Linked DNA regions of Alligator mississippiensis. The protein of the gene in region 4 purifies or fractionates together with the protein of the main gene of each other region. This does not show direct contact. Links are inferred from orthologs where the notes say so. Each region holds a gene or a part of one and is shown on either strand. Other genes may lie near its edges. The genes, in order: CAPZA1, TOB1, CAPZA2 and CNOT1.

The links.
Region 1: the proteins of CNOT1 (region 4) and CAPZA1 purify together in Homo sapiens (affinity purification with mass spectrometry; 3 studies listed by BioGRID and IntAct, with this or other methods). This does not show direct contact. The link is inferred for Alligator mississippiensis from reciprocal best matches to the Homo sapiens genes CNOT1 and CAPZA1.
Region 2: the proteins of CNOT1 (region 4) and TOB1 purify together in Homo sapiens (co-immunoprecipitation; 3 studies listed by BioGRID and IntAct, counting the BioPlex papers as one, with this or other methods). This does not show direct contact. The link is inferred for Alligator mississippiensis from reciprocal best matches to the Homo sapiens genes CNOT1 and TOB1.
Region 3: the proteins of CNOT1 (region 4) and CAPZA2 purify together in Homo sapiens (affinity purification with mass spectrometry; 3 studies listed by BioGRID and IntAct, counting the BioPlex papers as one, with this or other methods). This does not show direct contact. The link is inferred for Alligator mississippiensis from reciprocal best matches to the Homo sapiens genes CNOT1 and CAPZA2.

The regions. Positions count from the first base shown.
Region 1 is NC_081837.1:44,706,441-44,714,069, forward strand, and holds the start of CAPZA1 (F-actin-capping protein subunit alpha-1), read left to right. Parts: upstream 1-4,618; 5' UTR 4,619-4,672; coding exon 4,673-4,711; intron 4,712-7,629. Other genes in the region: ST7L (suppressor of tumorigenicity 7 protein-like), read right to left, coding at 2,553-2,682. UniProt on the Homo sapiens protein: F-actin-capping proteins bind in a Ca(2+)-independent manner to the fast growing ends of actin filaments (barbed end) thereby blocking the exchange of subunits at these ends.
Region 2 is NC_081831.1:10,649,451-10,657,007, reverse strand, and holds the start of TOB1 (protein Tob1), read right to left. Parts: upstream 3,005-7,557; 5' UTR 2,894-3,004; intron 455-2,893; 5' UTR 315-454; coding exon 1-314. UniProt on the Homo sapiens protein: Anti-proliferative protein; the function is mediated by association with deadenylase subunits of the CCR4-NOT complex. Mediates CPEB3-accelerated mRNA deadenylation by binding to CPEB3 and recruiting CNOT7 which leads to target mRNA deadenylation and decay.
Region 3 is NC_081827.1:49,190,345-49,197,964, forward strand, and holds the start of CAPZA2 (F-actin-capping protein subunit alpha-2), read right to left. Parts: upstream 3,016-7,620; 5' UTR 2,946-3,015; coding exon 2,907-2,945; intron 1-2,906. UniProt on the Homo sapiens protein: F-actin-capping proteins bind in a Ca(2+)-independent manner to the fast growing ends of actin filaments (barbed end) thereby blocking the exchange of subunits at these ends.
Region 4 is NC_081833.1:39,165,352-39,173,107, forward strand, and holds the start of CNOT1 (CCR4-NOT transcription complex subunit 1), read right to left. Parts: upstream 3,018-7,756; 5' UTR 2,915-3,017; intron 1-2,914.

The DNA.
Region 1 (7,629 bases), on a different chromosome or scaffold from region 4:
TTGAAAGGACTTTGGTGACTTCACAGATAGAAGAGCACAGCAAGCTGAAAGACAAGAACTAAGATAGCTAACAGAGGACGCTGCCCCAAAATACAGCTAGCATTTCAGCTGTCGTTTCACAGCCTGGTGAGGTCCAATAATTACAACACTTCAAGAAATCTTTAGAAGTTAGAAGTCTAGCACTCCAGCTATGGCACGGAAGGCTTTCAGAAGCTGCACAGTTACTGAATGAGAAATGGCCTTTAGAAAGACCACACACATTTAATTCCAAAACAGTCAGTACTACTCTGATGCAAGTTTCTACTAAGTCTCAACAAGTTTGCTAATGAAAAAAGGAACATGGTCTTGTCCAGCACGCCATCAGCCACTGGGAACTAACAGTAAGGGCAACTGGATCCCACATCCAAAAACCACTGCAACAAAGAGCATGCCAAAAGTGAATGTGTTTAGGTCACATAGTGCAGTCACTGATTTACACCCCCTGCCTTTATTTACCCATTTCCAGTGCAACAGAAGAGCGGTCCTCTGTGCTTCTATGCTGTCTTTCAGACTGCTACTCAGGAGCAAACATACTTTTCTAAACCCTAATCCAGTCCTGCAGGGAAGCTGCAACTGGGAGAAAGCTAGAGGCAGACAGCTCCACTAAGGGGAGACCTGTGTCACACCCACCACCTGTTTAGCACTGGGACTCAACAACTACCGTCAGGCTGCATTTGAAGCTGCAGGTTGAAAATAGCCTTGAGAAAATCTGATTTAAATAGCCAACAGCTGGGATTGGCAAGAAGGGTCACTTTACCTTCAAAAAAAACAAGGGGAGAAATACACCTGAAGGAAAAGAGACAAGTCTCAATTGTTGATAAAAGAGATAAGGTTGGAAAAAGACTAAGAAAAAAAATGCTATTCTAGACACTGGTGCTGTTATAGTAACAGCATAGCTCTTCCAGCTCCAATCAACTCTTGTATTCAGCTTCTGATCAAAACGCTGAAGCATCAGTTCCTCACCATCAGCTAATGTTTTAAAAGCAAGGAAACAAGTCCCTGAAAAGAGAAATTGTCTGCTGCGTTGCAAACAGGCAGAACTGCAGCAGCACAAACTCCAGCATCTCAAATAAAGAGGCAACAGTCCTGGGAGGAGCTTATTTGACTTTCACTGGAAAGTCACACACCTGCATCAGAGTTCATAGTGGCAAAAGATGTCCTGCAAAAATAACAGCTCTTTCACACCTCTGAAGAGACACTGTCCTCTGGGCTAAAAACCCAACCGCGTTGTCTACTGTGGAAGTGACCTCTCTGAGAGGAGGCAGAACAGGGAACGCTAAGCAGCAGGCCCAGGTGCTAATTAATGAACCCCTGTCCCATTAAAGAGGGGAAGGAGAGGCAGCTGATGACAATAAACCTGAAGCCTCACGAGCTCAGCCACAAGCACGGCCATCCAGGGTCCCTTCAATTTTTAATGACACTTGTGACTACTGCAAAGTCACGAAACCCTTGTCCTTTGCTAGACCTTCACCTAGAAAACTCCTGCATCGTCCCTTTTTCGCTGCACCGTTCTAAACGCTAATCGGGATGGGTGTCGTGCTTCCTACACCTCAGAGACTCCTACATGCTTCGGAAACAACCTATCGAGGCAATTTTAAACGTGTCTGCAGGCAATAAAGCAGACTAGGAGCATGGTGGTGGGGTGCCGTACAGCATTTAGTTTTTCCAATAACCCCCAGTACCAGGTGACACCCCAAGCCAAGCTGAAACCACGGGTGCTGGGAAGCCAGCACACTCAGCCTGTACGTGGTTGTGGCCAATGACGTTATGTACAGATTCACAAAGACAATCTACCGTGGCTCAAATAAACCCGAAAGCAGGCCTGGGGGACGTTTCCAGTTCCACGCGCAATATGGACACGCGGCAGAGACAGATCTGCCCCCCCAATACGTGCAGGATCGGTGGGGTGAGCTCGAAAGCAGCCGGCAGTAAGTCCATACACACGTGCCACCCCGTAACCGCAGGAGGCCCTTTGAACGGTGAGACGTGTGGTTTCAGAAACACGTGGGGTGACTATCAGAGAGAACTGTGTGGCTGTCGTCTATAGATATGAAACCGTTACGCCCTCTATTTTTCTCTTAAAATAAAGGGCTCAGAGGTGTCGGGTTTTGTATCAACAGAGCAGAAGAAAACCAGAATGTCCTTTAGGATGGCCACCCTGGAAACGCAGCAAATCCCTCTTTTTGGGGGGCTGCCCCAGCCTCTCCTAAGATCCAAGGGAACCACCTGCCTGGCACGCTCATCGTGATATTTCGTACGTGTTTTTGGAAACCAGCACGGGACAAAGCAGGACCCCGTGAACGCTGCCAAGCCTGGCATTCGAGGGGCCTGTCCCCAAAACCTCGTCTCGGCCCTGCATGAAGAGCGAACCCCGGTCCTTTGCGCGGGCCGCCCCTGCGAGTGCACGGCACCCATGCGGGGAGGAGGGGGACGCGGGTGCCCCCATGCCAGCTCTCTGGGAGGCGTCGGGGCCCTGCCCCGCTCCCCCCCTCCTGGGGGCCCACAGCCCTCACCGGCCGCCAGCCTGTCCCGCAGCGCGTAGAGCAGCGCGGGGGCGGCCAGCAGCGCCAGCCCCGCCGCCCCCCGCCGCAGCCGCCGCCGACACCGCGCCTCCCCGCCGCCGACACCGCCGCTCTCCGCCATGGCCCAGCCGGGAACCCTGGGAGAGGGAGAGAGAGAGGGAGAGGGCGGGGGCACGGCAGCCGGAGCCAGCCGCAGCCCGGCCAGCGCCTCCATAGGCAGCGCCGCAATCAGCGCGAGCCCCGCCGGCTGCACGTGGCCGCCTCGCACCGCGCCGGCACGAGCCCCCGGGCAGCACTCCTCTCCCTGCACACACGTGCGGGCTGCACCCTGCCCCCAGCAGCCCCCGCCCCAGCTGCTTCATCCCAGAGCAAGCTGTCCCCACCCCGTCCAAACACCTCCAGGCATGGGGAGTCACCCCCTCTCTGGGGGCTTTACTACCCTCCTCATCTCCCAGCTCAGCTTCCCCTGCTGCAGCTGGAGCCCATTGCCCCTGTGCTGCAGCACTGCACAAAAGGGAGGGATACACCCTTCCCCTTGAGAGGCGCACTTAGTGTAACCCCTGCTCCAAGCAGGACCAGCCCCAGCGACTTCATCTTAGGCAAAACTGCGTCCACCCCTGTTTTAAACACCCCCAAGGGGAGCTTTACAACCCTCCTGCTGAGAAACTGGTTCCTCATCTCCCAGCTCAGCTTCCCCTGCTGCAGCTGGAGCCCATTGCCCCTGTGATGCAGCACTGCACAAAAGGGAGGGTTGCATCCTGCCCCAGGGGAGTCCCACCCCTGAGCCAAGCAGGACCAGCCCCAGCTACATCACCCCAGACAAAGCTGCGTCCACCCCGGTTTTCAACACCTGCAAGGGTGGAGATTTACCCCCTGCCTGGGGACCTTTACGGCCCTCCTGCTGGGGACGTGGTTCCTTATGTCTAAGCTCAGCTTCCCCCGCTGCAGCCGGAGCCCGTGGCCCCGCGTGCTGCCGTCTGCCCCATGGAGAGCAGTCACATCATCACACAAAAATGAGGGTTGGATCCTTCTCCTTGGGAGTCGCACGCAGTCCCACCCCTGCTGCAGGCAGAGCCGGCCCCAGCTACGTCGTCCCACACAAAGCCGTGTCTACCCGGGTGGTAAACCCCTCCAGGGATGGAGACTCACCACCGCTCTGGGGGGCCTGTCCCGTGCTTCACCACCTCGGAGCGAGGGAGTTTTCCCTAATATCCAACCTCAACCTCCCTTGCTGCAACGTGAGCCCGTTGCTCCTTGTGCGGTCGTCCGTCCCCACCGAGGCCAGGGCAGCTCCATCCTCCTGCTATCTAGTCCCCTCAGTCTTCCCTTCTGCAGTCTGAACACGCCCATTCCCCTCGGCCTGTCCTCAGCACCCGCAGCGGTCGCAAGCGCCACGAGCAAGCGGCGCTGGGCCGGCGGCACCCACCCTGGGCAGGGCCTGGGCCTGTGCTGCACCGCTCGGGGGGGGCGCGTGGCCCCGTGGGTTTGCTGCCGTCCCCCTGCCCGGGTCGGGAGCAGAGCCCAGTCACGGCTGCGCCCGACAGTGCCTGGGGCTGTCGCTTTGCCCACTCTGCAGAGGGCACTGGCCGGCCTGAGAGGCGCCCCTGGGCCCCGCCTGGCAGGTCCGGCCCTCGCTGCACGTTACATTCATGGCACGGTTGGTGAAGGAATAACTGCCGCCTTGTCCTTCTCCCAAGAGAGAGGCTAGCAATAGGGCAGCCAGGCTGCGTCTGGTTCCATGCGGGCGGGGGCAGCGCGTTTACATGGGCTACTACTTCGGAGCCATACAAGCACACTTAGCTCCCCTCAGCTGCCCACCCCCAAGATGGCGGGGGCGGCTTCCTCGCGCCTCAGCAATGCCCTTCACCAAGATGGCGCCTCACATTCCACTTCCCCCACACATACAGCTGCCCACTCCCAAAATGGCGGCGGCGGCTTCCTTGCTCCTCAGCAATGCCCTCCACCAAAATGGCGCCTCACATGCCCTTCCCCCACACAGCTGCCCACTCCCAAGATGGCGAGGGCAGCTTCACCAAGGTGGGGAGAGTATCCGGTTCCGGCAACGCTGCGGTTCCCGGCGTGCTCGGCGCGGCGGCGGCCGTGGAGTCAAGATGGCGGACTTGGAGGATCGGGTGTCGGATGAGGAGAAGGTAGGGCGGTCTCGGGGGTTTCCCTCTTGCGCCCGCATCGCTAGTGGCGGGGGCTTGTCGCGGGGCCGGGCCCCTCTCCGCTCCTGTGGCACCAGCTCCCCAAAAAATAGATATAAAACCAACGAAGGAATCAATCCAGTGCCTCGGCCGGGAGCACGAGCAGCCTCAGGCAGCGCTAGAAGCGGCCCCGAGACTAGGTTTGACCCGTTGTCAACACCACTGGTCTTTCATTTCAGCAAGCAGCGCGCTACAAACACCAGCCCCTGCCCAGGTGCGGCGGACGGGGTCTCTGGCTTCATGCTGGGGACGTCCCCCCAAACCCAACGCAAGAGGCGAGCACTTTTCTTGGTCTGCAAGCTTGTTTCTTCGTCCCCAGCCGAGCAAAGACCCCGCCAGCCGCACCTGGGCTTGGTGCACGGCTCCCTGGCTGGATGGATCACACACTGCCACAGTCCCACTGACGCGAAAGGCAAGCGAGCGACGCAAGGGGAGGCCTCTAGCCTGTTTCGGCCTCGCTTCCAGCTCTCCTGGATATCCCGGCCGAACCGTTGGCAAGCCAAAGAGCCCCTCCTGCATTTCAGATGTGAAATGCAGCGTCTGGCCTGGTCCCAGCTCTGCAGTCGGGTGCGAGGCTCCCCCGCTTGCTGCCGCAATGAAAGATGGGTTGAAATCTCGCCCCTTTTCAAACCAGCTCAAAGCCCTTCAGCTCGCCGGAGGGTGCTCCCGATGGTCCCGCGTCGAGCCCCTTGAGGTCCCTTTCAGCCCTCACCTTGTCCGATTATTTGGTTTGTTTCCTGTCGCTCTTACCAGGGCCCTGAGTTGTATGTATTTGTTTAGTCCTTCGTTCGTTTATTTTAAAAACGCCCTGGGATTGTTTTCGTCAATGGGAGGAACAAGTGGTTGCACAGGAGAAACATCAACGCTCGAGTAGCCCTAGAGGGTTGTCTGTCTCACGCAAACAGATAGGGGGAAGAAATCTCTGTTTTAAATAAATAATCGAGCATTACTTCTACTGGTAAAATAAAAATAGCTTTTGGGGGAGGAGGGGTTGCGTCTTAAATGAGGCTTTTTAAGTCACGATTCTTTCTAAACTCATTAGCGTCACTAGACAAGGAAAGGATGGTTTGCTCTGCTGTTCCTCAGTGGCTTTACTGTACAGGCAATATTACAGATGAGAAGACTGGCAACTAATAGAAGTAAATGTCAGAGATGCTTTCAGGTCTTGTGTTGCGTGGATTTGATTTTGCCAAGCCAGCAGAAAGAAGCAGCCGCAGTCTTCTGCTTTCACTCCGTTTCCTCATCGGGCCGTTCTTTTTTTAAACCTAGCTTAACAGCTGATTCGGTAGGTTTGCCTAGCATACCTAGGCCCCAACTCTGCGTTTCGCTGCATGCAAGTTTACCTCTGAAGGTCCGTAACTATCTCTTCCAGTGATGTTTCTGAGTCACTGATAATCAGTGACTTAAATGTAGGCAGACAGCAACCTCTAGTCCAGCACCTGTTCACTTCATTAATGCAGAATTAAGTCAGTAGTGGGATATAGTGGTATGATTTAACCAGATTGTTTTGAAACATGATTACCTACTTTTTTTAATGAAGACTACAATATAAAATGTTGATAATGAAGTAGAACGGACAGAATTTGGTCGCTGTGGCATAAAATAGATACCAGTAGTGGGTTATTTTACAGCAGAAGCAAAATCCTCTTCAAAATAATGACTTGGAATGCACAAAAGGATCTGTCATTGAAACTGGTCTTTGGGCTGAAACGCCCTAGATTTCATTACGAGTCAGTAGTGCGGGGGGGGGGGGGACACTTGAATTATTAAAAAAAACAGAAGTGATGTAGCCCGTTTCCTCACTGCTGTGGTTTGGTTTCAGCCTGAGTTAGAGTGGGGGGCCTGGATTCTAACACATGGCCTCAGCAAAACAACCAGGCCTAGGTTATTGCATCTCCAAACTCGGGTTGCCATTGGAGGGGATAAAGGCTAAATTAGTTTCTTACCTTGAATAAGCACTGCTCTGGCTGTTGTGAACTATTTCTACACAAACACTGTTTGCAGCTGCCATTTTGCCTGCTTAAACTAGCAAGTGGTTAGCTTCCCTACTAGATGCTTTCCCCATTTCAGAAAAAGGAAGTGCATTTCTGCCACAACCCTGCAGAGGCACTTGAAATGGTAATGATGAGGCAGGAAGTAGGTCAGGTCCTGTTTTCTTAGTTCTGCAGACATGCGTGCTGCCAGGGTGCCAGCACCCAAAGGCAAAGGTACTCTAGAATGACAGTAGTTTGACAGCTTGGTATGCAGGGCTACTTTGCTGTGTATGAGGGGGGCTTCCTTCACATTGAGCTGGATGATAGCTGTATTTAGTGGTTTAAGGTAACCATTTAGTGGTTTAAGGTAACCAAGTCTCATACCCTGGAAGGAGCAAGAGGGTAGGGAAATTATACTTAACAAAAATAGCCCGTTCCCCTAGCTCATTGCTGCTGGTTTTCAGATATGGACATGGCACTTCCTGCCTTGCACATATAATTTCACCTGTCTTGCTAAAGTAGCAGAAGGTGGTGGCACATGGGCGTATGTAGGAGTGGCCTTTTATAATTCCCTGAAACATCTGAGTCTCAGCCTTGATCTTTTAGGAAGCAACCTTTTGTACACAGAGCAGATTGAAAGAAGGTTGGATATATTAAAAAAGAAAAGAAAGTTGGAGAGAGAAAGTTACAAGTATAATGGTATTTCTTTAGCAAGGCACCTTTCACAATCCACATAATGGCCATATAATTTTCCTTGTTGCACATCACTATATAAATATGCATGTGGCTTAGTTATTGTCATGGCAGCTCTCCTGTTGGGAACTTCCCCATCAGAATGGATCTGGGTGTCTTTTAAGTGAAGCTGTCTGTACTCAGAGGACAGTATCT
Region 2 (7,557 bases), on a different chromosome or scaffold from region 4:
TCACCGATTTGGTATGAAACCTCAAATGGGTCAATCCAAACACTAAGATCCTGAGGCAAGTTGCCACGAACATCATCAATGTCCAAGCCACTTTCTTTGGATGCTTGTTCTATGACTGGGTCCACTTTCTCCCCTATATGTATACATCTAAACCCTGATCCTTTGTATGGCTTTTCTGGATACCAGTGCCCTTCATACTTCTTCTTAAGAAGTCTTTCAAGCTCTTCACCAAAAATGTTGACACGCCGCCTGGGAAGCTTATTGTACAAATACGAGATAATAAAATTGAGTGCTACTTGGATTTCAAGCTGCATAGCTGCTATGCCACAAAGTTATAAGTCTGTTGCAAAACCCAAAGAAAACGAGTGTTCAAGATGCCACAGGGAAACACAATTTCATCCGAAGTGCTGATTCTAGTTGAGTATTATCCTTCACACCTTGAGTGTTCTTGTTCCTTTAAGAAAAAACAAAAGCAAACATATCCAAATAAGGCGAGTGTCATTTCAAGCTCCAAGGCCTATTCTTTTAGCCTCTGGTGGTACCAGAAGAGATTATTTCTCAACTACAGACATTTCCAACATATTGCTTTTCAACAGATCCGTTACAGCCACCAAAGTCAAATACGTTCTGCCTAAATTCCAAACAATATTGTGGGGGACGCATCGGGAGGTGTTTATGGGTACGGCATGGGGCACTTCAAAATGATTTGAGCTTGCAGCTCAGCCCCCCCCAAGTTATTCGCAAAGCAGCAAATATGTTTCCTAGGACATCATGCCAGTGCCAGGCCTGTCAGGGGTTCAATTACTAGCCCCTATTCTGGGTGATTTATAGAACTCAGCTGCAAAATTTAGCACCAACCTGTTAATTTAGCATAAAAGGTCGTAGCCTGAGTGTCATTTCTCATTTTAAAGTATGCAAACATATCACTTGGGCTTTAAAGTGGCAGAGACATATAGATAATTAGATATACAGATCTAGATATTTATTTATATATCCGTACCTATATAGATATCTATACACCCACACACACACATATATATATGTGCATGTACATAAATAATAGGTCTTATTAATATATTAATATAGGTATAAAATACCTATTGGCTAATGTAGACGCTTCCCAGCACTTATGTAATTTCAGGGTGTCACATTTATCTTTCCAAATCAAAGCCAGGCGTCTGCAGCCACTGTGCATTTGGGGAGAATTATGCAAACCGAAAAGAAAATGTCTACCACACGTATACCAGAAATGTTTCCCCTTCCTTCTGGAACAATCACGTTTTAATCCAAACGAGGCATGCCCAATATAGACAGGAGTGTTTTCTGTTTTAACCCTGGTGAGCAATCACGGTTAAATGAGCCGTTCCACTGTAATGGTGGAACATTTTCCCCGTGTTTTATAACATGCTGCTTCAGCGCACAGATCTCGAGTCTAGATCCTACCCACTAGCGAAAGGCAGGTTTTAAAACCCCCGTAAACCTATCTGGGCAGGGAAGGGGGGAGGGGGGGGGCAAAGAGGGGGAGGGGGTCAAGCCTTCCGCCCCTCTGCCCAATTGACAGTATGTATAAAATGGAGTCATGGAGCCCACAAAGTTAACCCTGACACGCCTCGCGACAGAAAACCCTGCAATGCCTTCACCCGATTTTTTTTGCAATTGCAAGGGAGATGGGTAGAAAGAGATGTTTTACTGCGTTTTGATTCAGGGGAAACTGGGTGCCCTGCAAAAACACCCACCCCCAAAGAAACCCCCCCGCATTTCCAGATCTCAGGGCACAGCCCCCTTGCAGCGCTCACCCCTCTCCAAAGAAAAGCCCCAAATTTCCAAAGCCCCCTTGCAGAGCCCCAAAGAAACCCCCCAAATTTCCAAAGCCCCCTTGCAGAGCCCCAAAGAAACCCCCCAAATTTCCAAAGCCCCCTTGCAGAGCCCCAAAGAAACCCCCCAAATTTCCAAAGCCCCCTTTGCAGAGCCCCCCCCCGCTCTAAATTTGCAAATCCCAAGGCAAAGCCCCCTTGCAGAGCCCACCCCGGCTGGACAAAGTTTGCAGCCCCAAAGCTGCCACCTCTCCAGGTTTGCTGGGGCTGCGGGAGGGGGAGCAGGGAGGGAAGATCAAGGGCAAACCGGGGGTGCTCCTTGCACCCCCTTTTCCTTCCGGCAGGGGCAAAAAACAATAATAAATAAATTAAAAAAACCATTAACCCCCCCCCATAAAAAATAATTTAAAACCATGCAGACTACTTTGAAACCATAAAAATTAAATTTTAAAAGCCATTAAAAAAAATCATGAAGAATCAATTTTAGAAAGCATAAAGAATATATTTTTTAATCATAAAAATGTTTAGAAAGCATTAAAACAATGTTAAAAAAATAATAAAAAAAATTTTTTTTTATAAAGCATAAAGACCATTAAAAAAAAAAAAACGCACATTAAAAATACCATTAAAAAAAAAATCCTTCACTATCATTAAAACTGATGATGTAACTTAACCCCTTATAAAAACGATTTAAAAGAATGGAAATGCCATTTAAAAAAACCTTATCAAACCAAAAAATAATGGAAAATGCCATTTAAAAACCTTATAAAAGCAATGACTCAATGAAATTCAAGCAGAAAGAGAAAACATCCTTCTCAAAAAGCATGAAAATATCATTTAAAAAAAACAAACCAAACAAAACAAAAAATTAGAAATCATTAAAAGATCATTTTTAAATGATTAAAAAAAAAAAAAAAAAGAACAAAACCCAATTTTACAGAAATGATCAAGCCACCATTCAACGCCCCGCCCCGCCCCCCGGCGCCCCCTCAGCGGGGAGTTACATAAGAGGCAGTTGGGGGTCGCGGGCGGGCGGGCGGGTGGACGGGGGCACCTCGCTCCCTCCCTCCCTCACTCACCGGGGCCGTGCGCAGTCCCTGTGCTCAGCACCGCGCCGCCATGGCCGCTGCCCGCTGCGCGCCGCCCGCCGCCGGCCCGGGGCTGCACGGCTGTGTCCGCCCGGGCTCGCCCGCCGCAGCTGCGCTCCAGGCCCCGCCGCCGCGCGATATATCGCCTCCCTTGCCCCGCCCCCAGCACGGGGACGCGCGTCACGCGCCCCGCCCCTCGGTGGCGTCAGGCGCTGACGTCAAAGGGCCCGTCACCGCGCAGAGACTACATCTCCCAGGTGCCCCGGGAACGCTCGCCCCGCCCCCGGCTGCTCAAGGGCAAAGAGGAGCCGCCCCGCCCCGCCCCGCCCCGCCCCTCTGTAGCGCAGGGAGGGCGAGGCAGGCTCCCGCTGCGGGCAGGGCAGGGGCAGCGGTGACAGCGAGCCACGTAGAGCAGGGCTGAGATAGGAGCAGGAGGAGGCAGAAGCCGGCTCCCTAGAGCCATGTGCAAGAGGGACGGAGCTGGACACTGCACTGTGCACCGAGGGGGCACCCGCACCCGCAGCAGATTTAGGGGGAGACTGGAATGACATGAGCCTGTGTTGCCCCCCCGCCCCTTCCTTTTTTCTTTTTTTTTTTTTTTTTGCAGCTAAAAATATTACCCACAGGTAGCAACGATGACCGATTGGCTACGTCCCCTCCTTAGTAACCATCCGATTGGTCATTCGGTATCTAAGAGGACTACGTCAAGCTCCAGTTTGGGGGGGAAAAAAAGTTAAAGGGGGGGTGGGAGAAAGAGAGACAGAAAAGAGCCGTGAATGGAGCAGCCGTCTCCTCCCTTCCCGGCTCAGCAGCGTTGGAGGGGCGCAGCGTGGAAAACCCCCAGCCGCAGTGAGCCAGGGAAGCCGCACAGCGCTCGTTAAGGAAGTTCAACAGCAACTAACCTCAGAGGAGAGGCTTGCCCTAGAGAGGACAGAAGTGGGGGCCAAGTTGCTTGTAAAGAGTTTAGTACGACGGGCCCCGGATCCTCATTGGAGTCTTTGGGCGCCGTCCCTGATACAAGCAATACGATAAGAAGACTGACTTGTTCAAACCAATGTGGAAAAGGACTCGTGTTAGGTATCCAGGTGGTAGCCGTATCGGTCTAGAGGAAAAAGCAATCCGGGCTCGTGGACAGAAGGAATATCTCTCATTAGATCAACAAGATTTTTGCAAAGAATGTTGTGTTTTTTTTTTGCAAAAATCTTGTTGGTGTCATAAAAGAGATCCCCTCTGTCCACGAGCCCTGATTGCTAAATGTGAGAGACGCACGGTTTCAGACTAGGCACTAACACAAGGAAAAATACCCCCTAAAAAAGTCAGTCGCGTGTAAGGGAGAATGCGGCATCACAAACTTTACGCCTCGGAGTAGTCAGGGCGGGTTCTCTCGTTCCCGTATAAATCAGGAGTGCCGTCACTTAATTCAGGAGATTCACGTCAGATTAAAATCAGCATAGGCAAGTAAAACCACAGCATGCAGTTTATTAAAATGTTAATCCCTTGTTTCGCTTTTTTACTGTCACTTGCGTGTATTACTGTTAGGCTCTGTTTCACTTTTAAGCTCGAGTTTTATGGCTATCTCAAACATCACAAGAAGTGAGGAGCAGGATCAAGCTTTAGAAAACAAATTTATAAGCAAAAACTTTTTCTTTTCTTCTTTGCGTTTGTATAACAATAAAGCACCTTGGCACAAAGCTGCATGGGCCCCAGGAGAGATTTGGAAATACCAGTCGGAGGAGACACCAGGATGCTTAACCCTTTGGCAGCTAAAATACACAGGTTATCATGCAAGCAGTCTAGAAATAATCTAGGATTTACAGGAGAAAAGGATTTTCCACTAATGACAATTTGTTGCATATGGAAACTTACACTCTTTATATGTAACGATACCAAAGTGTGCTGCATTATTTTACTAAAAAGTATTGGTCTTGATTTTATTAGGACTCTAGCATTGCTAACACCACTGATTTAAAATCATGATTCAGATACAAAAAAAAGGGAAAAAGGAGATTCGGGGGAGCAGGATCCAGACCTGGTCAGAAAGGAATGTAGTTTTGGGGGAGATTGGCAATTATTTCACATTAGCTGTTAAAGGCAGTTTTTAAAATAATGACAAAGCATTTTTAGGTGAAAAGACAAGACTATGGTTAAGTTAAAGCCTTAGAAGTCTACTTGGTGCAAAAAACCCCAACTGAATGAATTGTTGTTAGAACAAGATTGCCAGGTGTCATTCCCTCGTGTCACCTTGCTAAGGGTCCTGGAGTCAGAGGAGATGGACGTAGGATCTCTCTGTCCTCTTTTGAAGTGAGAAAATGCTAGACAGCTCCATAGATCAAGCACCAAAAATGGCTGTTTTCAGGTCCAGTGATGAAGACAAAGGATTTGGGAGGTTGGAATCAGAATTAAAGCTATTAATGCTGTCCCGAACTCTGATTTCATTTTTTTTCCTTCAACTTATTGGACTTAGGAAATAGCGTTAAAATTCTGAAAAATTGCAATGCTTTTTCAAGGAAACTTCTTCCTTTAAATGACTCTAAATATAAAAAAAAAAAAAAAGATTAAATACACAAGGCAAATACATTTGGAATAAAGGCAGTTGTTGGATCCTTAACTCTTTTCTGTCTCTAGGGTGGGAGATGAACATTTGTATAATTTACTTAAAGGAAACCGTTCATGTAGTAAAGCTGATTATTTTCTACAGGAAAAAAATCAAACACAATGCTTTGGGATAGGCAGTCCAAGAACGGGCCATAATTCTAGCCCCAACCTATATGATGGGTCATCAGCTACAGCAAGAGTGAAATACTCTTCTTAAAATCCAAAATAAGTCTTGACATTGTTCATCATTACTCAGATAAGAGAGTTCTGAATGTTGTTCATTGTGATTATATCGTCTACATCTAGTACAAAACGAGGTGACCGCAATGCCTTAAAGATACTTTACTAGAACCTCAAAATATACAGGAGCTAGTCCAGGTTTGCAGAGCGAAAACCTCAGTGGAGTCCAGACTCAGTTTTAGATGCACCTGGACTGGAACTGTGTGTACAAAACCTTTTCTATATTTTGATTAATTTGCAACAGCAAGAAAAATAAAACAACTTCATCAATAACCCCATTATACCTAATGAGCTGGGGAAATCTTTAAAAATGTAATCAATACAACATGATGAGCCCAGCAGTAATGCTTCACCCCTATGGCCATGATTATCCAAAAGGAAGATTGCTAACCTTCAGAGAAAAAAAACAGACACAACTTCTGCTCTCTAGTAAAGCCCAGCTCACCCTCCCTCCTAGCAAACCAATGCAAAACAAGCTAGTTCAAACCATAGTGGGGAGGAAGGAAAGAGAGACAAAGGATTCAGGCAAGGTCTTTTTGCCCAGGCAGCAGTTCCCTCTGTAAACCAAATACTCTGTGAAGGATGCCTCCTTGGCCAGCAGCAGAAGCTGCGCCAATGGACTCGAATGCTAAATGTGTGAGTGTCTATACTACGCCTTCAACTAAAGAACCAGCCTCTGTTAATTAGGGTTGCAAAAAATTGACCTCCCCTGTGGATTAGTCAGACAGTGACACATGCTACGTGCTGTCCAACTGGCTATAGCTGCATGGGGAGGGAGGTGCTGCCAAAAGGCAAGACCTAAGCTATGCAACAATGAAGTCTGAGCCTTTATGTAATATACTTACCAAAAGCAGCAGTAAAGGAAGCTGAAGGAACCCCAGTGAAATAATATGGTATCTCACAAAGCCAAGTCAATACACAACTAGGCCCAATTTTCCATGGCCTTCTATCTTGCGTAGTCAATCTTTTGTGAAAAGTTGGGGCAACATGCTAACAATCAGAATGGTAACAATTTACACCCACTCTGTACACAGAGATGTATTTACAGTGCACAAGGAAGGGGAGAATCGGCCACACAACATACATCGACCTTAATCCTGAATGTGAATTTAAAATCCAGGCTGCAATGAGCACATTTTCAATAGCACGGCTTCGCTGGACAAACTTTGGTGAGGTTTTTGGGGTTTTTTTGCTCGTGTTTTGTCAATAAAAGACAAGATTGTTGAGATGTACTAACATCACTTGCGTTGTTCAGGAAAACCTCTCTATTCAGGACTACCTTTAAACATGTCCTTAACTTAAAATCAGTGGGACTTAAGGCAAATGTATGGCTTTGCCTGAATGGGGTTGGCTACATTCCTGCTTTTCACCGTTCCAGCATGGTTATTTTTTTGCATGTCACTCAATCTCCTGCTATATAGGCTGGTCAGATATAGGCCCCGGTCCTGCAGTCAGATTGCTGCAGGGGGACCTCTCTTCTGATATGAAGCCCCGTTGGCTCTAAGAGGGCACAGGGCTTCATCCACATGCACTCATTTGCAAGACACGGGCACTTGCTGCTTTCAAGTCATTTATTCATTTTCTGATCCTCCTGCCCTAGCCCAATGACATTTGCCTTTGCATAATACAGCAAAGGAATGCATCTGTTCAGAATATGCATAGCCACCTATTGGTTTTTCCCCAAACCCATCTGAAATGGTGCCTAAAATAATTGGTAAGACACTTTTCAACATAAAATATTAATTTTAAAATGTAATATTAAATGCTCAGAAATACACGCATTCCAAATTTAAATTTAAAAGATTAAAGTTAGAGGAAAA
Region 3 (7,620 bases), on a different chromosome or scaffold from region 4:
AGATGTACTGCTTCCTTCCCTGAATTTCAGTTCTCTCATTAGGATTATGTCTATAGTTCTGCCAACACTGCCTCTTCCATTAGACCACCAGAATCACCAGCACGACTACTACAGGCCCTGCATCAGTGTAGGAGAGTGCCACTGGTACCATCTATTTCTGGCCAATGTTAGTACATTTCTCCTTTCTATACCACCCCATGGCCCCGTCTTAAGAGGGCAAAAAGGGTGTGTTTTTGAACTGTGTTATCTCTATGATTAAAGGCACTGATGTGGTCAAGGCCATTACTATGGAAAACAGAGAAAGAAAAACTCTTGTGCTACATCTTCCCACTTCATTAGGGGGGATAATGCATAACATGAGGGAAGACGTAGTTCAGAAAGGGATACTGGCCTATGGGAAAAAATGATGGCATTAGTTCTCCAAATTATAACTCTCAGAAGTATTACTCTGCAGTGGGGAAACCACTTAGAGTAATTGTTTATTTTTAAAAGTGTAGCAGACAGTAGCTTTTCTGCAAATATGGGTATTTTTCTTCATGTGTATAACTGCTGGTAAATTAAGAATTATTGTTACAAAAATCACAGCTCTATCAATGATTTACTCAGCATGCTAAACTAGTTTGAAGCTGTGCTGGGCCATATTTTAGCTTGAAAAAAGAATGCAAATTCTGACATCATTAAGAAGTGCAACAGAGACATAAGACGTTCTAGAAGAAATTTAGTTAAAGAGCTCCACACATAAGAGAACCTGCTTCTGAATGATTTATACAATGATAATTAAGGGGAGTGCGTCAAACAGTAGAAAAGTTCTACTTGAACAAGTTACCGATTTAAAAATATACTCCCAACTTTATCAAGGGGAAAAAACCCTCATATATCCTGGTGTAAGGGGCAAATGTGGATTTAGTTAAATCCTCCCTAAACACAGTCATCCAAACATGATAATATAGCCGTAGATGAAAGCTTCACAAGTGGCACACATTTCCTCATCAAAGATAGCACACCTTGGACACTTGCTTTTGAAAGCATAAGTGCAGTTCAATCAGAAAATATTTGATTATACCTCAAACACCTTTGCACTTTGATATGCCCTGGATGGTAGATGCATCTCCACTGCAAAGGCTGAGAACATCTGAGTTACAGAACTTCAGTCACATCAGCCTGTCTTGTATAAAGGACTTACAAATGTCTTATTTCCCAATATATATGCTGCCAGTGTTGGGTAAAATCCAGCTACACAAGAAAATCCAAATTTTTTTGCAGGATTGAACTGGATAAAAGAATCAATGGCTCCGTTCTTGATGGAAGAGAAGGGGAAAAGAAAACAATTCTAATGCTCCTACTTCTTTTTAGCACAGGTGGGGGGAGAAGGGGGGAAGATAGGAAGTAGGGAGGCTCTAAGCTTTTAGCACTTCAAATGGGAAGGTGTGTGTGGAAAAAGCACCACAAAGCAACTTGAACTGTAACTGGGACAAGTACACATGCCCCATGGAAAAAAAAAAAAGTACTGGGAAATGGAAGGCTTCCTGCAGGTCATTAAGCTCCACGGTGCCCCCAGACCTACAATGGTGCCCAGTGTTCACTTGCAGCACTGAGGTGTAGATGTTGATTTTACAAGCCTGGAGAATCAAGAGTTTGTTTGGGAAAAGAAAAAAACAGAATGTTTTTGGAAAAAAGCAAGCCCAGAACTTCATCAGATTGGTGACAAGGGAAAGAGAAACTCAGAGAAACACCATTATGTGGCATGAGCTGGAAAAGGGGGCAGAAGTGATAGGTTGGAGTCAGTGCAAAGCAGCAGCAATGTGTATTAATAAGTATAGTGGCAAATACTTTTTAGCAGCGTAAATGCTGAGGCTTATTTTTTATTTAGTTTACCCTTTGACATACTAACTAAATACCTTCTACCAGGGCAAACTAACACTTTACAGGCTCTTCCCAGGTCACTGTGGGTGCTCCAACAGAGGCAAGAGTCTTAGGGTAGGGGTGATATTTTTTGTTAGACCAACTTAATAGTTGGAAAAAAAATTATTTGCAAGCTTTTGGGGCACAAACACCCTTCTTCAGGCATTGGGAGACTGCTGCTATGAGCTCTCAACCAACAACCAAGTACTGGAAGCATTTTTCGTTCAGCTCCCTGATCTGCAACTCAGTGCTGCAAACATGGAGGGACTCCCTGGCTACAGTGAACATGAAGGCATGTTAACCCCCACCCTCATGTCAAAGATATCTGAAGCTTCATTTATTCTCTCTCACATCTGAATCATCTCCACAGGTTCAGCAGCCCCCTAAACTGACCTTTCCATCCAAAACAAAAAAAGGGAGAAACCCAGAGGAGAAGAATTAGGTGAAGTGCATCCCCGCGCTGCACACACACCAGCACCACCACCACCACACCCTGGTCCCGGAGCATTAGCGGTGAGCAGAGGGAGGAAACGGCGGCACGGCCGGGCTCTGCAGCCGCCCCTCCTCCCAGGGGCATCTCCGGGGCAACTCTCGCGCCACAGCAGCCCTGTGGGCAAGGGCGGCGGCACCCAGAGCCGGGCACCGAGCTCCCTTCCTAGCGTGTTGCTTCCCTTCGCCCTGCCCACACGGCCCCGGGCCGCGCCCCTTCACCTGCCCGGGGCCGCTCCTTCACCCAGCACCGGGGGAGGGCCCCCTGGCGACTCCGGGGGCGGGGCGGGGCGGCAGAGACCCGGAAGGGCGAGGCTGAGCGCCCAAGGCCCCCTCCCCCGCGGCGGCTCCTATTTTCGGCGCTCGGACCGTACAAGGAGCGGCGCGGAGAGGTCCCCGGGCCGGGGCCGCCGCTCGCCGCCCCGCGCCCGCAGGCCCCGGTCCGGCCCCGCCAACTGCCAGGCGCCGTCGCGGGCTGGGGTTGCAGCGGGGGGGGCCGGGCGGGGCCGCCTCACCTTCTCCTCGTCCGACAGCTGCTCGTCCAGGTCCGCCATCTTCCCGTCCGGCAGCGACCGCCGGGCGCCTCCCTCTGCGCGGCAGGGCGGAGCCGCGCGCTCCCTGCGCCGCGGGGCGGGGCCGTCGCCGGCCAATGGAGGGCGCGGGAAGGCGCATGCGCACTGCGGGGCGGGAAGGCGCATGCGCACCGCGGGGCTTGGGGGGCGGGGCGGGATGGAGCCGGGCGGCCTCAGCGCCCCTCCCCCCGGCGGGGGTGGCCTGTGACCGGTTGCGCCTGCGCGGGCGCCGCGGGGTGTTGGCCTTTCGCGGCCGCGGACGGGGTGACCTGGAGCGTGCCGGAAATAGATACGTCTCCAGGCGACTGCTTGAGGGGCCAGGGATAGATCGGGCATTCTTTCAAATTGAAATAAATATTAAATGTTGAATCTAATTTATGCAGGAGTGCAGTGGGTTTTTTCAATGTAATAGTAATGCCTTGCTGAGTACAGGACAGTAGATCAGTCATTAATGTCGTTACATCCTGTGACGAAACCTCCCGGAGTAGATTCACACGGAGCTGGGGACGCTGCCAGGGGCACCTGCTTGCGCCAGGGGGTGCCTGGTTGTGTCTGAGGGAGACCGAGCAAGGACAGGCCCCCGGGCTTGAAAACTGCCATCAGAGCCTCAGAGGTCCTGTTTTAACAAGTGTGGATGGGACAGCCCAGCCTGAGATACCAGACACATTGGAGAGAGACCCGTGGAGGGCAAGGAAAATGGCGAGGGGGCTGGGACACATGACTTGTGAGGAGAGGCTGAGGGAGCTGGGCTTATTTCATCTGGAGAGAAGGTGGCTGAGGAGGGATGTAATAACAGCTTTCAACTACCTGAAGCGGGGTTATAAAGAGGATGGAGCTAGACTGTTGTCAGTGGTGGCAGGTAGCAGAACACAGAGCAACGGGCTCAAGTTGCAGGAAGGGGAGTTTAGGTTAGATATTAGGAAAAAACTCTCGGGGCGGTAGTAAAGCACTGAAACAGGTTGCCCAGAGAGGTTCCGAACTGTCCATCCTTGGAGGTTGTTCAGACCCAGCTAGACAAAGCCTTGGCTGGGAGGATCTGGTTGGGGATGGTCCTGCTTTGAGCAGGGGTTAGACTAGCACTAGATGACCTGAGGCCCTTTCCAACCCTCGCTTTGTATGATCCTGCTACCCAAGACTTGCAGCCTCTGGCTGTTTTCCTTCATCATCACAGCAACAACAGCACCTCAACACTCCCTAGGACACTGCTGTCATTTAGCAGTGCACAAATGTGCATGAGACCTCAAAGACATACACAAAACTAGAGCTCTTGGTTCCAAGAATTGGTTCAAGAATTCTTGGAACCAAGAGTTCTAGTTTTTTGTATGTCTTTTTGTCTCAGACCAACACGGCTACCAAGTACACCCCTGAAACATGAGGTTCAAGTGGTTTTTTGAGGGATTGCAAGGGCATGCAATCATTGTCAGGGACTGGGCTTGATGGCCCATGAGTCCCTTTCCACTCCTGTGTTCCTGAACATTGATGATGTGTAAGGGGTGCATGCAGGTGCATGTGCACCCCACTGAGAGGCCACCACCGATGCTGCAGGCGGTGCCTGCGAGTGGCCACCACTTGCTACCCCTGTCCCCCCCCCTCCACTGCCAGTGGCATTTGCGGACAGTTGCTGATTGCCACTGGCTCTCACCATTCCCCCTTTGCCACCGACACCACCATGGCCTCCTGTAGATGGTCCCTGCTCGGCCCACCCTCACCACCAACATCACCACGGCTGCCTGTGGACGGTCCCTGCTCACTGCTGTTGCATCCCTGCCACCGCGGCTGCCACCTGCGGGCGGTCGCCATGTCCCTCCCAGCCACAGGAGGCACAAGATGTTCATGTTCCTGAATATTTTTTGTCCTTAACATGTGACCGTGTCACTGTAAATAGTATTTTCTTCGCTGCCTCTCCTGGCACACAAGTGTCTCATTCAAATTCTACTTCAGAGTCCAGGCTGCTGCATGCTCACCTTTAGAAGCACCATTGCATGAATAACACTATTCTGAGTAAGTCCGCACACGTGAGGGAGGATACAATTTAAGCTCATCTGAAGATGGAAAATTGATCCAATATTAAATAGATATTGAAACGTAAGCACTTGTGTGTCAGGGTTGACAGAAGTTTTACTAAGAGATTAGAGTATGGATTTGTATTCAATGGTTTGCATAGGAATGGTCTCAGGCAGGGGATTGGACTAGATGTGACCTGTGGAGGTCTCTTCTAGCCCAACTTTCCTTTGATTAGTATTCTATGATTCACACTCTTTGGATCAGTCTGAATTACTGTACATTTTGGCCACATTTGCAGCAATCTATCAGACCTCACACCAGGGTTAAATTTACTCTATTAATATATAATTATCATACATCTATCAACACAAAGAGAGGCATACATAGAGAGAGAGGCTAGAAGGAGAGTGGTTGGCTTTCCTACTAAACAATCGTTAGCCTGTCTTGCACAAATGAGAAGTGCATGGCACACCAAGGATGGAATCAGAATGCCCTTTAGCAATGGGTGGACACACAACTAACAAAGCCTTTCCCAGGCTGGGATAAGCATCTCCTCTTTACTTTTTTTCCCCCAGAAATCCCAATTGAACTTTTCCCTGCACTGTTATCAGCAAGAATGAGCTCCTCATACTTTCAGACAGATTGAACTCAGGTTTTGGTAATTGCAGGAATGCCATGAAGCAAATGTTAGTAGCTCTGGGTTATACACAAATAACTGAAACATATTGGGCTTCACTTACTCCTGTTGTTGGGTCAGCAATAATCTATAGCTCCTACTCGAGTGTCAGAATATATTGCAAGCGGCATCAGTCTGGTTTGTAGGGGGCAAAAGGGCTGTAGTGTGAGGCTGAGTGCTACAGACCAGTCAGCATTTTCAGAATTAAACATTTTGATTTTGATGTTTCCATGTGCAATTCTGTGCAATTCTTACCTTCTTCATTTCAGTAGTAAAATTAGTCATTTAAACATGCTCACTGAAAATTCATGTGGGCAGACACGCAGTTAAAAATGCCCAGATTTTCAGACACCCACTCAGCAATATGTCTAAGGCATGCAAGCACATACTGCTGCTTATGGGAGAGAATGGAGTTTCTGGGGTCCTCCTTGCCTTCCCATGTCCCTGTGACAAGGTATTTACCAGAACTCACAGACTCATTGGGATGTGACATGGCTGCTCTGTGAACACTTCTGCTATAATCTAGAACGTGCAACCTCTGGGCTATCAACCATGCACCTTACTGCCACACCACCTTGAAAATGGCTTCTTCAAGTTTCAAGGAGTAGAATTTCCTTGGGAGTTTGTGGGAGGGAGTTTGGAGGCTTTCCTTCATACAGCATGCGTCTACATGTGCGCTGGATTGCACAGTTGTTTCTGCACAGTTTAGTACTTGCTTGAGCAAGTACTAAATGACTGCGTAGTAACCAATGTTACTGCGCAATCCTGACACTGCACGGGTCATTTCTGACACTACTGTGCTGTAGCAACAAGCTACTGCACAGTAGCTCATCATTACAACAACATGGTGTCTCATGTAGACCCACCCATAGAGGTACAGTTTCACCTCAGCAGCAAGGATGCTGGCAGTGAATAAGTGGTCAGGTAAGTAGCATGAGGAAGATTTTGTCTTGTGGAACATTACAGTGAGAGAGGAATATTGAGGTGCTTAGTATGGAAAAAGGGGGGATTGCATTATTCTGATGTCTTCCACCTCAGTAATGGGGCTACCAATAACTTGAGTGATAAACTAAGTAGACTAGCTGGCAGAGCTTTAAACTAACACTAAACAGGAATGAAACCATTCAAATGTGTAAATAAGCCCCAAAGTATCACACAGGAAATCTGAGCGCACATGAATAGGTAAGGAACATGTATTTTATCTATGTATTAATACTAGGAACTTAGGTTATAAGAGGAGTTGGAGATGTTCAAATGTGAAAAGAAATATGAAATGGTTTTCATATTTTTACTAAAATGTGGTGAGGTGGATCATATGATTGGAATGCTAAAGTTGATGCGTACTCCTTCTGCTACAAGGATGGGAATTGACAGGTTTTATATTAGACTCCCATGTGGTTTATAGAATCATAGACAATTCAGAATCACAGGGCATATCTACACATGTAAGTAATGCAAAGCAATAAACTATGGAGTTTATTGCCATTTGAACATTCACCCAGGACCACAGCATGTTGAACTGGGTTGGAACAGCCCTGTCTGGCAGGGGATCCAAGGGATTAGCCTGCCAGCCCAGGACTGCTGCTCCCCTGTGCTCAGCCTACTGTGGAAGGGCTGGCTGGGGCACAAAGCTGCTTCAGTGCAGAGCTAGCTGGCAGGCAGCTCCCATGCTGAAGCACCCTCATGCCCCAGCCAGCAAGTGTAGAGTCTTTCCACTGCTGTGGAGTTTTTTTCTAGTACTATCCTGCTGCAGAGTAAATTAGTTTACTCCAGCCTATATGGGAGCATGCAGTGGCGATGTGTAGGGGATGCACAGGGGTGCATGTGCACCCCCTGAGAGCGCTGGTGCACCCCCTGACCAGCCACACTCACCACTTAGATGAAGGGCAGGGGGCAGGCAGGAGTTCCAGTGCCCACCCTGCAAGTGCCAGCTGGGGAGTGACACTCCCAGAAGAGGCCGCAGTGATTGATCGGCCA
Region 4 (7,756 bases):
CTTGCTCCTGGTGAAACTTGACTTCCTTTCATGTGTAGGAGACTACTTCACACATTTTAGCTAACATTCACATTAGAATACTTTAAACAAAGCTCTGACACATACCTGCATGAAAGTTACACTGTAAAACTATTATTGCTTTTAAAATTTATGGGTAAGCAAAACTGCATACCTGAACTGTCATCACTTGACCTAAGTTATTGATTAATTTTACTGGCATCTTGGATTTGAACCAAATATTGTTTACAGGTTAGCAAGTCACAACAATCTCAGTTAACCGGAACCAAATTATCTGGATTTTCTAGAATGACAGATTTATTTTACATTACAACTATACAGATAAACAATTGAGCTAACTCAACTTGCATGAGAGCACTCACTTAAAATAAGTGCTAAAAATCTGTTATGTCCCATCCCCCCCCGCCCCCCAAGCTATTTAACAAGTACAGTTTCAGCAGTCAACATGTAAGTGCAGGGTGGGGGGGTTACATTTCAGCCACAAGCTCTCTCTAAACACAACTACCTTGCATTTTTTGTTAGAAGTCAATCACAGCTAGTCAGCCTCATTCTCTAGCTGCTTTTCTTGGAATACATCATGGCAAAGAAACTTTTTGGTAGTTTCAAGTTTTTGAAAATGTGACACAATAAAGAATTCCAGGATAAATCCACTACCTGTTTTCATTTCAGTCAAACAAAAGTTTTAAAGTTTCTTCCGATTACCATAGTCAGTAAGGGAATCATAAACCCATCTTTAAGAGGCCAGGAAAGAGAACTTCTATTTTTTTAGCTCTAGTGTTTTTTCCAAGTGTTGGCAATAAATGTTATAACATGGCTTAAAGGAAAACCTCCATAACAACAATATAACCTTCAATGTTAACTGCATATAGAAACAAACCCGAGCACTGAGGTAAAACTACATTTCTCCATTCTGGTTTTCCCAGCATTATGGGTTTACTGATAACTAGTCATTACATCACAAGGTTTTACTACATTTTTCCCCTCAATAGCAGCAAGGTAATCTTACTCTGCTTTATTTAACACTACCTATTCTTATGCCTGAAACATAAGAATAGCCATGTTAGCATTTCATTCCCAGATGAGAAATTTTAAATCAATTACTCTCTGAAAGAATGAAGCAAGTCTCCCTCCCAAGAAAGATACAGGGAGATCAAAACAAGTGCTCTGGCAATGAAAGGGGGTCAGTTGTAGAAGCGTATGCACACAGAAGTTGAGGACAGCACCCAATAAATGTCCAGGAGGGAGGATGAAAAGCATATTTCTATGTAACGAAGTTGACTTCCTGTTCACAAGCTAATTACTTCATCTGGACTAATTTTGCTTCAAGTTTCATCAATCCAAGATACTGTAGTTACCTTGGAAACAGGAATCAAAAGATACTGACAGCTGTTGTTGAGTTGTCGTGCTTCCTACCATACTCCTTAAGAGCAGAGCTCAGACTAGATAGTGTCTAAAGAGACAAAACTTGACACTTCTACATTTTAAAGTGCATGTTTTATGTCACACAAGCATCAGCTTTTGTACCTGTTAAATAAGTTTAAGATCTGCTCATTCCTACTGTAGTTATTAACACAACCAAACCTTAGACAAGCTGTTGGTTAATAGTCCCTGCTTTATGCCAAGGCCTAGAGAAAGAAGAGCCTGGAATTATAAATACACATATAAAATAAAACTACATTTAAGAAGATCCTACGAAGTTCCGAAATAAGCAAGTCTTGGAATTACGCAACTTCTTTCCACATTTTCAACTGGGTGACAAATTTAGAAGTCCAGGTGCATGGTGCTGCCATTTCTGGTTTTCTGGATAACTAGGGCCACATCTTCAGATTAGTCTCGTTTAACAACCAAATCCACTGTTTAGGTATTTATTTGTTTTTTCAACAGGCTGAGATATGGCTTCAACCCTGTCTTCTAAACTCTGGACTATAAGTTACCATGTAATAGCCCACAATTTGCTTGCACAGGAGTCAAAGTTAACATGTCCAGAATGCTAAGATCTTTTAAAGGGAAAAGTAACTTGTGATCCACAAAAGTTTAGTCTTCAGGAAAGGGCTTAAAGAGGAAAAAGGAAAATGAAATGCTAAGGGTTCAGGTGTCAATTAAGAATGAACTAGATTTGTTTGACTACTTAGAGCAAGTTTTGCCCAATGTATTTTTTCCCCAGTGACCTGCTGTTTTGTATACTGAACGCTTCCCCCTCCACGCTCCACAAAGCTAAAGCTTACCACAAGAAAATGATGCATATACTTAAAGTGTACAGAAAACCCCTATTCAAAATTGCTTTTCAGGTTTGTTTTTTTAAACAAGAAAACACAAGCAGAAAACCGGGACCTTTGAACCAAATGGCCAACTAGCGCCAGTCCGGCATACTTCGATGCCACGAGTGGATCCGTGGAGAAGCGGGCACACGTCGCGCTGCCTCGAGGCTCTCCGCCAGGGGTCACTCATCGGGGCCCGGATTCAACCCGCTCGGCACTCTCGGGCCCCCGGCCCGCACGCAGGCCGCGCGCGCGGCAGGACAGCGGGGGAAAGGAGCCCGAGCCGCTCCGGGACTCTCCCTGGCGCCTGCAGGCGGCGGGACGGCCCTGGACTCACTCCCCTCCCCGCCAGAGCCCGCCCAGACAGCAGCGAAGAGACCAGCCTGCGCAGTCTCGCACGCTGCTGACCCCGGAAACTGCCGGGCCTCAGGGCCTGAGCCTGGGGCTCCCCCTGCGGGAAGCTCTGCGCCGGCCCCTACGCCACGCTCCCTCCACGGGACGCGCCCGGCCCGGCCCGGCCCGGCCCCGCCCGCCCGCGATCGGCTCCCGCCGGGTCCCGCCTAGGTGTTACTACACTAGGCCTGCAGCCCCCGACCTGTGCCGCCCCGCGGCCCCTGCCTCCGCGGCCGGCCGCTCACCTGAGGCGCGGGGGCGGGCGGGGCCGGGGCTGGAGCGGGCTCTGCTCAGCCTCTCGCGCTGCCTGTGTCCGCCGCTCGCCTCCGCTGGCTCAATACAAAATGGCGGCGGGGTCGCGCGCTCACGTCGCGGCCTTTCCCCTCCCCCGTCCCCTCGCGGCACGCAGCGGGCGGGGCCCCTCCGCCTGTGTACGCCGAGCCCGCCCAATCGCCGCACAGAGCTAGCGCCCTCGCGCCCGGAATCCGTCCAATCAGAGAAGGGCGCTGCTTAAGTGGGGGGGGGGGAAGGAAGTCCAACACACATTTCCTCCCCCTCCCCACCCCGGAGTTAGCGGCGGGCTCGGATTGGCTGGGAAGGTTCACCACGCCTTCCGTCCCTCTAGCCAATCACGAAACAGCTCTCAGCAAGGAAGGACTTTAACCCTTAGCGCCTGCGTAAACGAGGCTGGTTGGCCGGCGGAGTAGGAAACTGAGTGCGCAGTACCGGCTAATGATAGCGGAGTTTGGCTGAGCTGGGCGTCGGTGACAGCAGGGGCTGGAAGGGGCTGTCAGCTCCCTCCCCCCCGCCAGGGGCAGCACCGACTCACGCTCCACTCAGACCCTTCCCTGCTGCCCAGTGGTACAGTCCGACGCCTGTGCACATGGCCTGCCTCTTCCTGGATTACAGTGGTACAGTCCGCCCTCCAGCGTTGTGCAGTGGTACAACCCGTCGTCCTCTCACTGCCCCATTAGTCCCACTCAGATGTCTCACAGTGGCATGGCGCATGCGCGTCTCCCCACACCCCGTGGTACAATCTCCCCCGCCTTTTTCCATCACGTGACCTCGGCTCGCCCGGCTGCCTTGTGCGGGCTGCGCTGCCAGCGGCCCAGGTTGGAGGTTTGGAGACGCCCCCTCGACGTCCCACGTGGCAGCAAAGCGGCCCAGCTCGCCAGCCCAGGTCCTCCGTGTGCTGCTGCCTTGCTCTCTGTTCCGTCCCTGGACGTGAGCAGAGCGACTAACGCGGGGCTGGCTCGGGCAGGGGCTTGAACCAAATGACTTTCAGGATTATGCCAGCCCCGTTCATCACCCGGTTTCTGAAAGGTGGCAACAGGCCTACCCAGGCATCAGTGTCGGATCTGCCAGGTGTGGAGCTGAGTGAGCCAGACATCCTACCCATTGCTTTGGGCTGGAAAATGCCACTCTGAAAGTACACCTGAAAAGCAGCAGGGCATTTAAGATATCCTGCAGCCAACAAAGCAGGTGGTGTAAACCTAACTCAGCCCCCTTAACAGGAGAGAGATGATCCTGCCTCAGGCAGGAGGTTGGACTAGGTGACCTCTGGAGCTCCCTTCCAGCCCTGCTTCTCTGGGATTCTGTGGTTTCCCATACAGCTCCCTTTTCTTTCCATTTTTAAATGCCTGGAGGGCAAAAGGTGAGGTGCTCAATCTAAATGCAGTATGTATTTGGAATCAGCCCTGTAACAAAATAACATAGGGACAGGTAGGAACATGGCAGCATGAATCAGGGCTCTGATGTAGGCCTTGAGGGTGACAGTACTATTAAATTCAATGAGGGAGTGAAGTAAAGCAGGTGGTACGGTGGCACCAGGCTAACACTTGACAAACTATTGTGTTGGGAGGGAATGTTCCTTCATGATTTCCTTGCTCAGTGTGCTCATGGCATAGAAAAAATTGTTCAAACATCTAAGGTTTAACAAGAGACCCTTGATAAGCTGGCTGATGGCAACAGCCTGAGGGACAGCCAGCATGGGTTTGTCATGGGTAGGTCTTACCTGACCAATCTCATCTCTTTCTATGACCAAGTGACATATCACCTGGACAAGGGAGAAGAGATTGATGTCATATATCTGGACTTTAAAAAAGCGTTTGATCTGGTGTCCCATGATCTCATAGAAAAATTGGACTATTGCGGTCTCGGCTACACCACAGTCAGATGTCTGGGACCCAGAGAATAGTAGTTGATGGAAGTGAATCATTATGGTGCTCCATGACCAGTGGTGTCCCCCAAGGCTCTGTCCTTGGACTGGTTCTCTAACATTGTTATCAACGATGTGGACATTGGTGTCAGAAGCACACTGGCCAAGTTCACTGATGACACTAAACTTTGGGGCATAGTGTCCACACCTGAGGACCAGCTAGTGATCCAGGCTGACTTGGATAAGCTTAGTAAGTGGGAGGATATAAACCTGAGGATGTTCAATACCGAAAAATGCAAGGCACTTCACCTCGGGGCAAGGAAAAAAAACCCGCAGTACACTTATAGGCTCAGCAGTGCTACGCTTGCTAGCACCACAGCTGAAAGAGACTTGGGAGTCATGACTGACCACAGATGAGCATGAGCCACCAATGTGATGTTGCAGCTGGTAAAGCAAATAAAACTCTGGCTTGCATCCATAGATGCTTCTCAAGTAAATCTCAGGATGTCATCCTCCCGCTGTACAGTGTAACGAGGCCATCAACAAGGCCAGTCGCACCTTGTCGTGCATTAGCACGTGCATGACTAATAGAACAAAGGAGGTGATGCTCCCCTCTATGTGGCACTGGTCAGGCCGCAGTTGGAGTACTGTGTCCAGTTTTGGGTGCCGCACTTCAAGAGGGACATGGGGAATCTGGAGAGGGTCCAGAGGAGGGCCACTCGCATGGTTAGTGACCTTCGTGATAGACAGTACGGGGGGAGGTTGAGAGAGCTGAATCTCTTCAGCCTTCACAAGAGATGGCTGAGGGGAGATCTTGTGGCCGCCTATAAATTTATTAGGGGAGGTCAACGGGGAATAGGGGAAGCGCTGTTTACTAAGGCGCCCCAGGGAGTGACTAGGAATAATGGGTGTAAACTAGTTGAGAGTGGATTTAGGTTAGATATTAGGAAGACATTTTTCATAGAAAGGGTGGCCAGGATCTGGAATGGGCTTCCAAGAGAGGTGGTGCTATCACCTAGCTTGGAGGTCTTCAAGAAGAGGCTAGATAGTCACCTGGCTGGGGTCATCTGACCTCAGTCCTCTTTCCTGCCAGGGGCAGGGAGTCGGACACGATGATCCATTGTGGTCCCTTCCGACTCTACAATCTATGAATCTATGAATCTACTTGGCCTTGGCAAGGCTGCAGCTGGAGTACTGCATCCAATTCTGGGCTCCAGCATTCAAGAAGGATGCCAAGAAGCTTGAGAGAGTCCAGAAGAGAGCCACGCGCATGATCAGAGGGCAAGAGAATAGGCCTTATGATAAGAGGCTGAGAGCCATGAGACTCTTCATCCTAGAAAAGTGCAGGCTCAGGGGTGATCTTGTGGTTGCCTATAAATACGTAAGGGATGTGCATCAGGATCTGGGGGAACGTCTGTTCACCAGAGCACCCCAAAAGATAGCAAGGACCAATAAACTCCTCCATGACTGTTTTAGGCTGGACAAGGAAAAACTTCTTTACTGTCCGAGCCCCCAAGGCCTGGAATAGACTCCCTCCAGAAGTGGTGCAGGCACCTACTCTGGACTCATTCAAGAAACGTTTGGATGCTTATCATGCTGGGATCCTTTGATCCTAGCTGACTTCCTGCTCCTGGGGCAGAGGGCTGGACTTCATGATCTTCAAGGTGCCTTCCAGCCCTAATGTCTATGAATCTGTAAGAGCTATTTGAGGATGGGAAAGGGGGAATTTCCTATTGGCTTTTACATTTTTAATTGCTACATGAAATTGTTGAGCTGAAAGACATGGGTGGGGGGCACATACCCCCCAGACTCGTGCATGGGGTGGGGGTGGATGCAGGCTGCTCACTGTGGGTTCGGGGCTCCCCAACCTGATGCCCTGCCCCCAGGTACACTGCGCTAGTCATGGGGATGCGCCCCTTGCCTGCCCAGCAGCAGTGGGGGTGGCAGCAGCAGCATGGAGTTATGTCCCCTGCTGCTGCCGGGCAGGCAGGAGGCACTTGTCCAGTGTGGGGCTCCTGAGGGAAAGGTAGCAGGGCAGGGAGCCTGGAGCCCTCAGCAGGCAGTCTGCATCCTCCCCCTGCTCCACTTGGCTCTGGTCTAGTAGTGCTAGCAGAGGGAGGAGGAAGGTAGGCATGTGTCCCACCCTCCCCTTTTGAAGTGATAGTCACCCTATGGAGAGGAGGTTGACTTGGAAGTGGAGGGCGCCAACGTAGCCCGATAATATAAATCGCCTGACATAACTGATGCTCCATTTTGCACTGCTTGATCTGCAAAGCTTTCCTAAAAAGCAGAAGGGACAACCTGGTTGTTGTAAGACCAGTTGGAGAATAGTTGAGCATCCAATAAACCTTCTTCTGCCTTTAGTATAATGATTGAAATCAGGAGTTGGCAACCTATGGCCCACAGGGCTTTACCTGCACTGTGGCACAGTAGTTGGGCTGCTGGAAGCTTCACTTGTGATGTACTAGGCCCAAACAGCAGGGAAAGCAGCAGCAGTGGCTACTGGGTCTTAGTGCACAGCTGCCTTGGACCTGAGCTGGGTCATTCTGACCCACTGTTGAAAAAATGTTGCCTACTGCTGTTTTAAAGGAACTGTTTGAAACCAAGTAGATGCAGTTGTTTCACTGGATTCCTCATTTCCCAAACCAGTCTTGCTCAGAGATCCACATCTCACCTCTCTCTATTCCTTGCTTTACCTACTAGGCAGGCTTCTTGCCTAGTGTTCCTTGGCTGCAGCCACACTTGCAATATTTGTTTGGAACACTTGGGGGCAACCAGTGAGCTTGGAGAATCCACTTTGCCTTCAAATCTTCTTTGACCCTCTAGCCAGTGGCACAGAACTTCTGAAAAATTTGGCCTTACTGATTCTAAGGAAAGGGTTTTTTTAATCTCTTCTATTGGACCAACTGTATACCTGGGAGAGATGTTT